2 linked regions of the Zea mays genome follow. The protein of the gene in region 2 interacts with the protein of the main gene of each other region in a pairwise test. Links are inferred from orthologs where the notes say so. Each region holds a gene or a part of one and is shown on either strand. Other genes may lie near its edges.

Region 1 (4,459 bases), on a different chromosome or scaffold from region 2:
AATAAAGTTCAATAATCATTGTTCTTCTCTTGATTTCAGTTTTCATTTTGTATAGATCATGGTTGAACAATTTCCTCTATTTTTTTTTGGATATATCGTCTTCAGACTCATCAAACGAGGACAATAAATTCATCACTTCCTAGTTCAAATAATTCAAAGTGCATCACTTGCATATAAGAATACAAACTCGACGGCGGACAAGTGATTTTATGGTGATTAACACACGAAATAAAATATTGGGAGTATGAAACAACTCCCTAAGTATAGGGTCTAGAATAGAGATATTTAGAAACTTGGTATATTTGAGGACCTCATTTAGGAAACTGTTGGAGGATGATTTTTTGATCGATAACACCCTAAATTAATTTTAGGAACAAGTGAAGATGCTCTTAAGCCATAATCAGCAGATTCCTTATCCAACCTCCTATTTAAAAAAATAATGCATTAGTCACGCCACAACGCCAACAGTCGGTGAAAAACAATGAAGGCCTTGCAAATGAAAGAATAATTAAAAAACACAGGAATTGATCACATGAACAATCTCAGAGCGCTATGTGCGTCCTGATACTGCAATTGTCAGCTGTTAATCAGGTGGCCCAGGGCCACGAATGCATCTTTGGCAAGGCATTTACAAGAGCTGTCGTATAAAAAAAAACTTAAAGCTGTTGCAGAACGGCAGCTTAGTTGCAGGCCATGATAATCAACACTGACTACGGCCATGGCCGAGTCATAAGAACTGCTTCAAGAATTCAGTGGCCACTAGCCGGCCACGAGTGTTTACTGACAGCTTCAGCTCGCTGATCTCCTTGTCAATATCCTGGGGTTCATGTAAGCAGAATAGTGTGAGTACGCTGCCAACATACAAACAACGTTGCATCTATCGACCAAAAGAGAACAAGCGACAAACTCAAAGCCATGCCTATGCTTATGCGTATGAACTTACCTCCATAAATTGCACGATGAAATCTATGAGCTTGTGCTTATGCATGTCCTCACAATGGTAGTTTGTTATCAGGAAACTGATATCATAGCCCTGAAACATAAGGCATAATTTGCCACCAGTTCAGTCGTGAACAATTTAGATTTCTGAAGGGATAAGCAGTTATGTTGATAACTTGGTAAAGCTGAGCTCTATGTGGGAATACGGCAAGATAAGAGGGGAGAGAGAGAAAACTAGTACAACAAATGTTAGCAAAAATATGGTCCATCATCCAGCTGTCCACAATGATGTATCCCTGTGCCTTACAGGTAGTTCATGTTTAGTACATAAAACACTGCTCAAGGTAATCAACGTTAAGTTGGAAACCTGAACCGGTTTTCTCCTCAACACTTGGAATGCCTCTGCCCTCATTGACAAAAACCTAAGGAACTTCTTGGCAAGAATGTTCTCCAATTCATCTGCCTGCTTAACCTGCCAGATCAATCAGAAGCTATAAGTATATACCAGACAGCAAATGGTTGCATGACAAAACGTATTAAACACAAGCAGATGCAACACATGTGAGCAGGCACCAAACACTGCCATCGGGTCCACCTTTTTAGTTTGTATCAGGAATATTTTCTAACAATTTTGCTACCAAATCATACATCAAATCACAGTAGCGTCCAAATAATATGCCAAATGTATAGCAGCACTGATACCCCAATAACCATTGAAAAATCCCACAAAGCTCTCCAGTGTACCTTCATGCTTATTCGTATGGAGTTGATTGAAGTCTCTATCAAGCATTTTTCTGCTTCGTTGCGGCATATCAGTACCTGTACATAAATGTAGGAGTATGAGTCACAATTCTCAAAATATTAACAGAACTTATAAATCTCTTCCAAATAAGCATAAGGGATAATGTAAGTTACATCTACAAGCAAACATATACTTAATTGGTTTGGCAACAACAACCAACTTATCTTAAGTGGTATCTTGGTAAAAAAAATGTTCTAACAAATATCGGCAACCATTTTTTTCCACAAAACATAAATCACTGAAAATTCCATCGCAGGTCAAAAGAAGATCCAGCCTTGAGTAATCAAGCTTAAATTTACTTAGGAATGTTAAACGATGAAACAGAGCTGTCCGTGATTCTTAGCTTGGTATCATAATAGTGCACTTGTTCCAACTAAAAACGACGGCACTGCAATCATTAGTAGTCCATGTTTTGCCATGTTGGGTTTAGTTACCTCGTACATATTAGAACACACTCACACTGTCTCCAAAAAGAAAATAAAGGTCGATAATGAAGGGTTGTAAAATGAATTTAAGATACTGTCAAAGAAGTCTCCCTCACCGGATTCAGCAGAAGTTCAGGGCTTGTCCTGTGAATAAGATTAAAAATGAAGATGGATTAGTAAGGGCAAAACGATATATCCGCATGAGCCTTTAGGAAATTCACGAGCAAACAAGAATTGTGTTATTATTTATAGGAGTCAACATGGAATGGGATATGAATTATGAAGGTTAAGCACATGTGCCAAGGAAGAAGAGCACTGAACAACCATTGTTGCCTGCTTGCAGCATGACTTACTTGAGCTCCACCTCCGGTTTGTTGTGCCTCTCGACTTCTTGGCAAGGGAAATTCTGGTACCAGAACAAAAGGACAAACCATCCACGTTACGCTCGTGGTGAACTGGGAACAGCAGCAGGAGGAGGAGCCTCGAGCAGAAGCAGAAGAGAATACCTGGAGGCACATCGCCGCCTCCAGAGTGTTCCGGATGCAGGTGAGGTACAACCGCAGCGTATTGGCCTGCGAAAAAGAGTCGCTCGTTAACGTTTTGAGATGTCGATGTGTCTAGCACACGCCGAAACGAAGATAGTTTTTGCCAGATACTGAAGTTATAGCAGGCGTAATACTACAATGGGGATACGCTACACTTGCAGTTACGATCAGATCCGAATACGAATAGCCAGATAGCTTAAGTTAGGGTTCGGGCGTTCCGTTTCGCGCAGCAGGCAGGGGTCGGCATACCTGGTGGGTGCTCATCGCCGGCGAAGAGCCGGACGAGAACCTGGGCACCTGGCGTAGGGCGGCCGCGGCGGTGGCCCAGGCGTCGCCGGAAGGGAGAGAGATCACGCAGGAGTGAACGAGACAAGCAGCAGGCCTGATGCGTGACCACGGGGCCTCTCCTGGGCCGGTTTTCTTGGGCCGTTCCTTAAAAACGAAAGTATACATGTTCGCCTAATACAGGGGAAGAAAACGAACGGGTTCGGGATAGCCTACCTCCCGTTTTTTTCATATTTTATTTCAGAAACGGGATTAAAAATGAAACCATAAAAAATGGGACTAGTTAGATGATAAAACGAATCAAATTAGAATTAAACGTAAAAAGTGAAAACATTGCCGCATGGAATATAAAAAATAAAACAACATTGCGATCAATTTAAACATCACTTCTAGACATACACAAGCAATATATATAATAGAAAGCTCTAGCCCAACGATGTCATCCGGTTCAGCCGCACCAGGTTCGGGCGGCTATAAAAACACATCCAGACCGCTATGGATTAAGTTTTAGCGGCGGTGGCGATCCTAGAGGCCAGCGGCGGTGGCGTCCCGAGCCAGGCCACCGGTGGCGACACTCCCTAGGATCGAGCGACGACGATGCTCCCGAGACGGGCGGGCAAGTGGCGACGACGCTCTTGAAGTGGACGAGCGGCGACGGCGCACCCTAGGCCCTGTGCGCGACGACGGTGGCGCGAGACGCGATAGGTTTCGGCAGTAACGATGGTGGCCACGGAAGACGTGGGTTGCTCCGGTGGTTCAGCGAGGCGTGGTCATCTCCGACGATGGCGACACGTGAGGCATGGGTGGCTCTGGCGTCATTCGATGAACAACTCCTCTGATCCAGTGGCTTCGACGGCGTCCTACGGTGACGACCTACTCCAATCATTTGTTTATGCATGCAGCTGTTGGTTGAGTCCATACTAAGTTTTTTTATTAAATATGATATACCGTGTAGGTACTTATGCGACCTTCTGTAACAATTTATGTTTTACGCGATATCAGTCATCCAACTTTTGTGTGTATGCCATAGAAACGAAAATGACCCTCAAAATTTGTGCGCATGCAATAGAAACTCCCACGACCTACCATAGTTTTCGGATCTGCATATATAAAAATATGAACTGCATGCATGTGCCTAATGGTTGACATATTGGTAAGATCTGCCAAATAAATAGAATCATGGATGTGTCTGGTGGGGTACACGCCTGAATGCATGTTCGTGGAGGAGGGACGACATACAATCACATACATATTTTTATGTCACTTTATATACATATTTATAGCAACATTAAGAGGTTTGCAAGAACTTTCAGATTGGATCAGTATTTTACGCTCATAACTTCAGGTTTTTACGCTCAAAACTGAAGGTTTTTATCCACCAGTACACTTCATGTCAGATTTTTACGCAATGTACTGCATTGCATAAATAGCTACACAATGTAGTATAATTTGTATCAATATAT
Region 2 (3,820 bases):
CCACACAAACCACTAGGCCCACATGGACACCACACACGTTGAAAGATCAGAACAGAAGCACCATTGCAGTTCACTTTGGTGGTTTAGGGGTGCATGATTTGGTGCGGTTGGGATGGGCTTTGCGTATTCGCTGGCTGTGGTTGTGGAAGACCGATGTCACAAAGCCTTGGGCCAGGCTTCCTATTCAGATCCCAAGACAAGCTCGTGCTTTGTTTCATATGGCAGTGAATGTTCACATTGGTAATGGAGAGTCCACAAAATTTTGGTCAGACAGATGGCTACAAGAAAAAAGTGTTGCTGAGCTAGCCCCTGACCTTTTCAGAGTGATCCCAAAGAAAGTATCAAAAAAGAGTACAGTGAGTCAGGCTTTCCTTAACAGGAGTTGAGTTACAGATATCCAGGGCGCTCTTACTGTAAGAGTGCTGATCGATTACCTCCGCATTTGTGATATGGTTGAAGGCATTGTGCTGCAGCCAGAAATCCCAGATCAATATTCCTGATAGCTCTCCTCTTCTAGATGCTACAGCAGTAAATCGGCTTATAATACTATGTTGTTAGTTCCATACCATTCTCTCCTTGGAAACGGATTTGGAAGAATTGGGCACCAGCAAATTGATTTTTTTTGTCTGGCCAGCCATCAATAGTTGTTGCTGGACTTCAGAGTTCGGATCGCCTGGTGAAGTGAGTGCTACCACATCAGCCGGCCTGCCCCTTCAGTGATCCAGACGTGAATCAATTAACCATATCCTCTGCGTGTGTGCTTACAAGGGAGGTTTGGACCTGGGTGCTACAAAGATTGCAGCTCCCTGACAAGGTGCCTCTAGGTTCGGCTAGTCGCTTCAACTCTTGGTGGTTCTGTGCCTACGGAACTTTGCCTAAGGAGCTCCAGAAGGATTTTAACTCCTCGGTCGGTTCTCCAGGATCTCCTCTTGAGGTCCCTGGCCCCTACCCCTTAGGTGCTGCCTGATCGGGATCATTTTGTCTGGTCATGATCGTGTAGTTTCTGTTTTGTAGTGGTTTGATTTCTTTTTACTCTGAGTGGTCCTTAACAATTCGGGGGTGTACCCTTTTTCCTACCTTAATAAAATGACACGCATCTCTCGTGCATGGTTTGAGAGAAAAAGACACTGCCACAACACTCATGGCAGGGAGGCCTAAACAAGAGATATGACCAAATTCCTAAGGTCCACAGCCTCAGCAGTGCACCAGGCAGCCCCTGCATCAATCACCATCCTGACCAGTGACCACCACATCTACAGAAGTACTATTGCTGAACACTGAACACATAATCATTGCAATGTTCCCATAGTTCCTCTGTCAACAAGGATGATGAGGGTGTTGAGTCCTTTCCTAGATTGTTTGTCAACTCTTTAATCACTTTGCACCACTAGTTACAGAACGGGAGAGAGTCTAACAGAGGGATCAAAGCCTGCAGCTCAAGTTCATGCGTAAAAGATGAACTGCACATCTTGCAAAAACGCATGAAGTTAAGAAATTCTGGATTGTTCCTCATCCTGATCACAAAAGGGGCAGGATCTTGGGTGTGGCAAGATTCCTTTCTCAAGCCTATTTGCAGTCCAACATCTGTTGAGGTCTGCTACCCATATGAAGCACTTACAATGGTGAAGAGCCCAATATTTGCAAATGCTTTTCCAAGGCACAAATCTGATAGAACCAGTGTTCTAAATCGCCGGAGATCATGCTTAGCGGCAACATCTCCAACCAGCTATGACAGACAATCGCCCATATTACAGCCGCTACGACGTACGTAACAGATAGTCACTCCACCCAGGCTACTGGGCCACCTCTTCAGGCCTCCTTCTCGTCCACACATCTGGAACAACACTGTCCACACATTTCACACTTCTCTGTTTTGTCCAACTCGTGTCACCTTCACACCGTACTCTCTGCAATGCAGCCTCACCTTTGCATTGCCGCCGGAGCCCAGAGAGGATGTTGCTCCCTCGATCCTGCTCACTCACGCGGACGTGCTTGGGGAGCACCGTGACATCATGACCATGGCGCGTCAGTGCCGTAGGAACCCAACGCTCCCTCTGTTTCTCAAGCTAGAGCCGAGTGAACGCATCTGAGGAGCGTGATGACAGAAAGGTGCCAGATCGACGAGTGGAGGCAAGAGGCCAACACGCCACCGGTGGTCCGAATACCTCCCAAAACAGAGCCGCTGCTACTGTTACATGCAGACTGCAGAGGTAGCCATCCAGAATCAAGCAGCGGTGGACAGCGAGGAAGGTCTCGGCCAGCCCTGCAGATCTCCGACAGATAACGGGTAAGCAGCGCTAACTCATTCGCTGTTTAGTATATTTCTGCATACTAAATCGGGCTATTAGCGGTTAGCGCCTTGTGAACTTTCCTAGCGGCACACCCGTCCAGCCGCGATCTCCTGCTAGAGCAACCACTGTAGCCAGAGATTTAGAACCTTAAATACAACCCATGAAGTAAATAGTGCTGGTCTTGCACACCATCATGTAGATGAAAATTTTCCAAAAGATCCCATAATTTCAGATAATCATCAATGATGCGAACTGAGCAATCACACTTGACATCCCCAATCCATTGCCTATTTTTAAAAAGCTTGGCTCATTGTTCTTTGGCTGTGTGCACGACAAAGGACAAGGAGGATGAGATTGGGAGCTATTTCAGCCACCATTTTGCCTTGCACCCAACGATCCGTCCAGAATTTGGTTGTTGTCCCATCACAGGGCCATATTAAACATGGCTTTCGCATTTGGATGAATCTGCACATGGAGTCCCGCCCAAGGCTTGAGTAGGATTGGTCTTTTGGAGCTAAAACCAACAGATACAGAACTATAGAAGCGCCCAGCAGAAAGTAAGAGTTTTATTTGAGCATAGAAAACTCCTTAATTGATGAGTTGCTGCAATAAATACATTGCAGCATGAATTGTTAGCATTATGATAGATTAAATTGGCCTTTAGTGTCAAATGCAGTTGGTACGATAAACATAAAAGACAAAAGACCATGAAGAACAATAGGCCAGGAAGCTGATGAAAGAGACAAAAGGAAGAATCCAAAATACCTGCAGGAAGGAAGTTGCTAAAACAATATCAATGGAGTCCTGGAATCTCATTGGATACACAATAGTAACTTTATCTGCCTGAAGAAACAACACAGTGAATCCCATTTGTTGCAAATGATAGAATTAGTATGGCACACTTAAGTGATATAATTTGATATTGATGTCCCTAAAGTTATACCTGGGGAGCAAGGAAAAATGATTCATTAGGGCGGTGAACAAGAGCAACAAGGTTGTTAACATTAGGTGCAACTGTCTTTGAGGCTAAATGTTTCAGCAGGAGCTTCAGTGGTGCACCCAACACAACCTCTCTAATAGATGCAATTTGTGTCAAGATAGTATTCCTTTGCTCTGAAATATAGAAAAGAAACAAATGGTTAGAAGCTACAAATACAGAGAACATGACTCATATAGAAAAATGATCACATTTCAGGAGATGGCTATGGCTTTGGCAGACTTATCCTGAAGAGAATACAAGGGCTTAAATGTAGAAGTGATGGATGAAAATAGAAATATAAAACTCCCACATCATCATCAAATAAATGTAATGAAATGAATGTCAATAAAAACCTAGTATGGTGACCTAAAAAGTAAAAAACACAACACTTCAGCAGTGCAGAGCCAGCTTTATTCCAATAAACAGCAAAATATTTTAGTTTAACTGCAATAATAAATTAAGAATAACAATTGATGAAAAAATAAGATAATTGGGATGACATTGTGCAACAAATCCAAAGATGCAATCAACTTTAAATAAACTCGACCTA

Evidence for each region.
Region 1: the proteins of Actin-related protein 2/3 complex subunit 2A (region 2) and Actin-related protein 2/3 complex subunit 4 interact in binary tests that used the Arabidopsis thaliana proteins (3 or more experiments, as listed by UniProt). The link is inferred for Zea mays from reciprocal best matches to the Arabidopsis thaliana genes DIS2 and ARPC4.

What each region holds. Positions count from the first base shown.
Region 1 is NC_050100.1:1,391,996-1,396,454, forward strand, and holds Actin-related protein 2/3 complex subunit 4, read right to left. Parts: upstream 3,071-4,459; 5' UTR 2,976-3,070; coding exon 2,961-2,975; intron 2,739-2,960; coding exon 2,673-2,738; intron 2,573-2,672; coding exon 2,520-2,572; intron 2,311-2,519; coding exon 2,283-2,310; intron 1,759-2,282; coding exon 1,684-1,758; intron 1,412-1,683; coding exon 1,307-1,411; coding exon of another isoform or gene 1,247-1,306; intron 1,034-1,246; coding exon 944-1,033; intron 818-943; coding exon 728-817; 3' UTR 525-727; downstream 1-524.
Region 2 is NC_050097.1:239,331,264-239,335,083, forward strand, and holds part of Actin-related protein 2/3 complex subunit 2A, read right to left. Parts: intron 3,405-3,820; coding exon 3,235-3,404; intron 3,135-3,234; coding exon 3,057-3,134; intron 1-3,056. UniProt on the Arabidopsis thaliana protein: Functions as actin-binding component of the Arp2/3 complex which is involved in regulation of actin polymerization and together with an activating nucleation-promoting factor (NPF) mediates the formation of branched actin networks.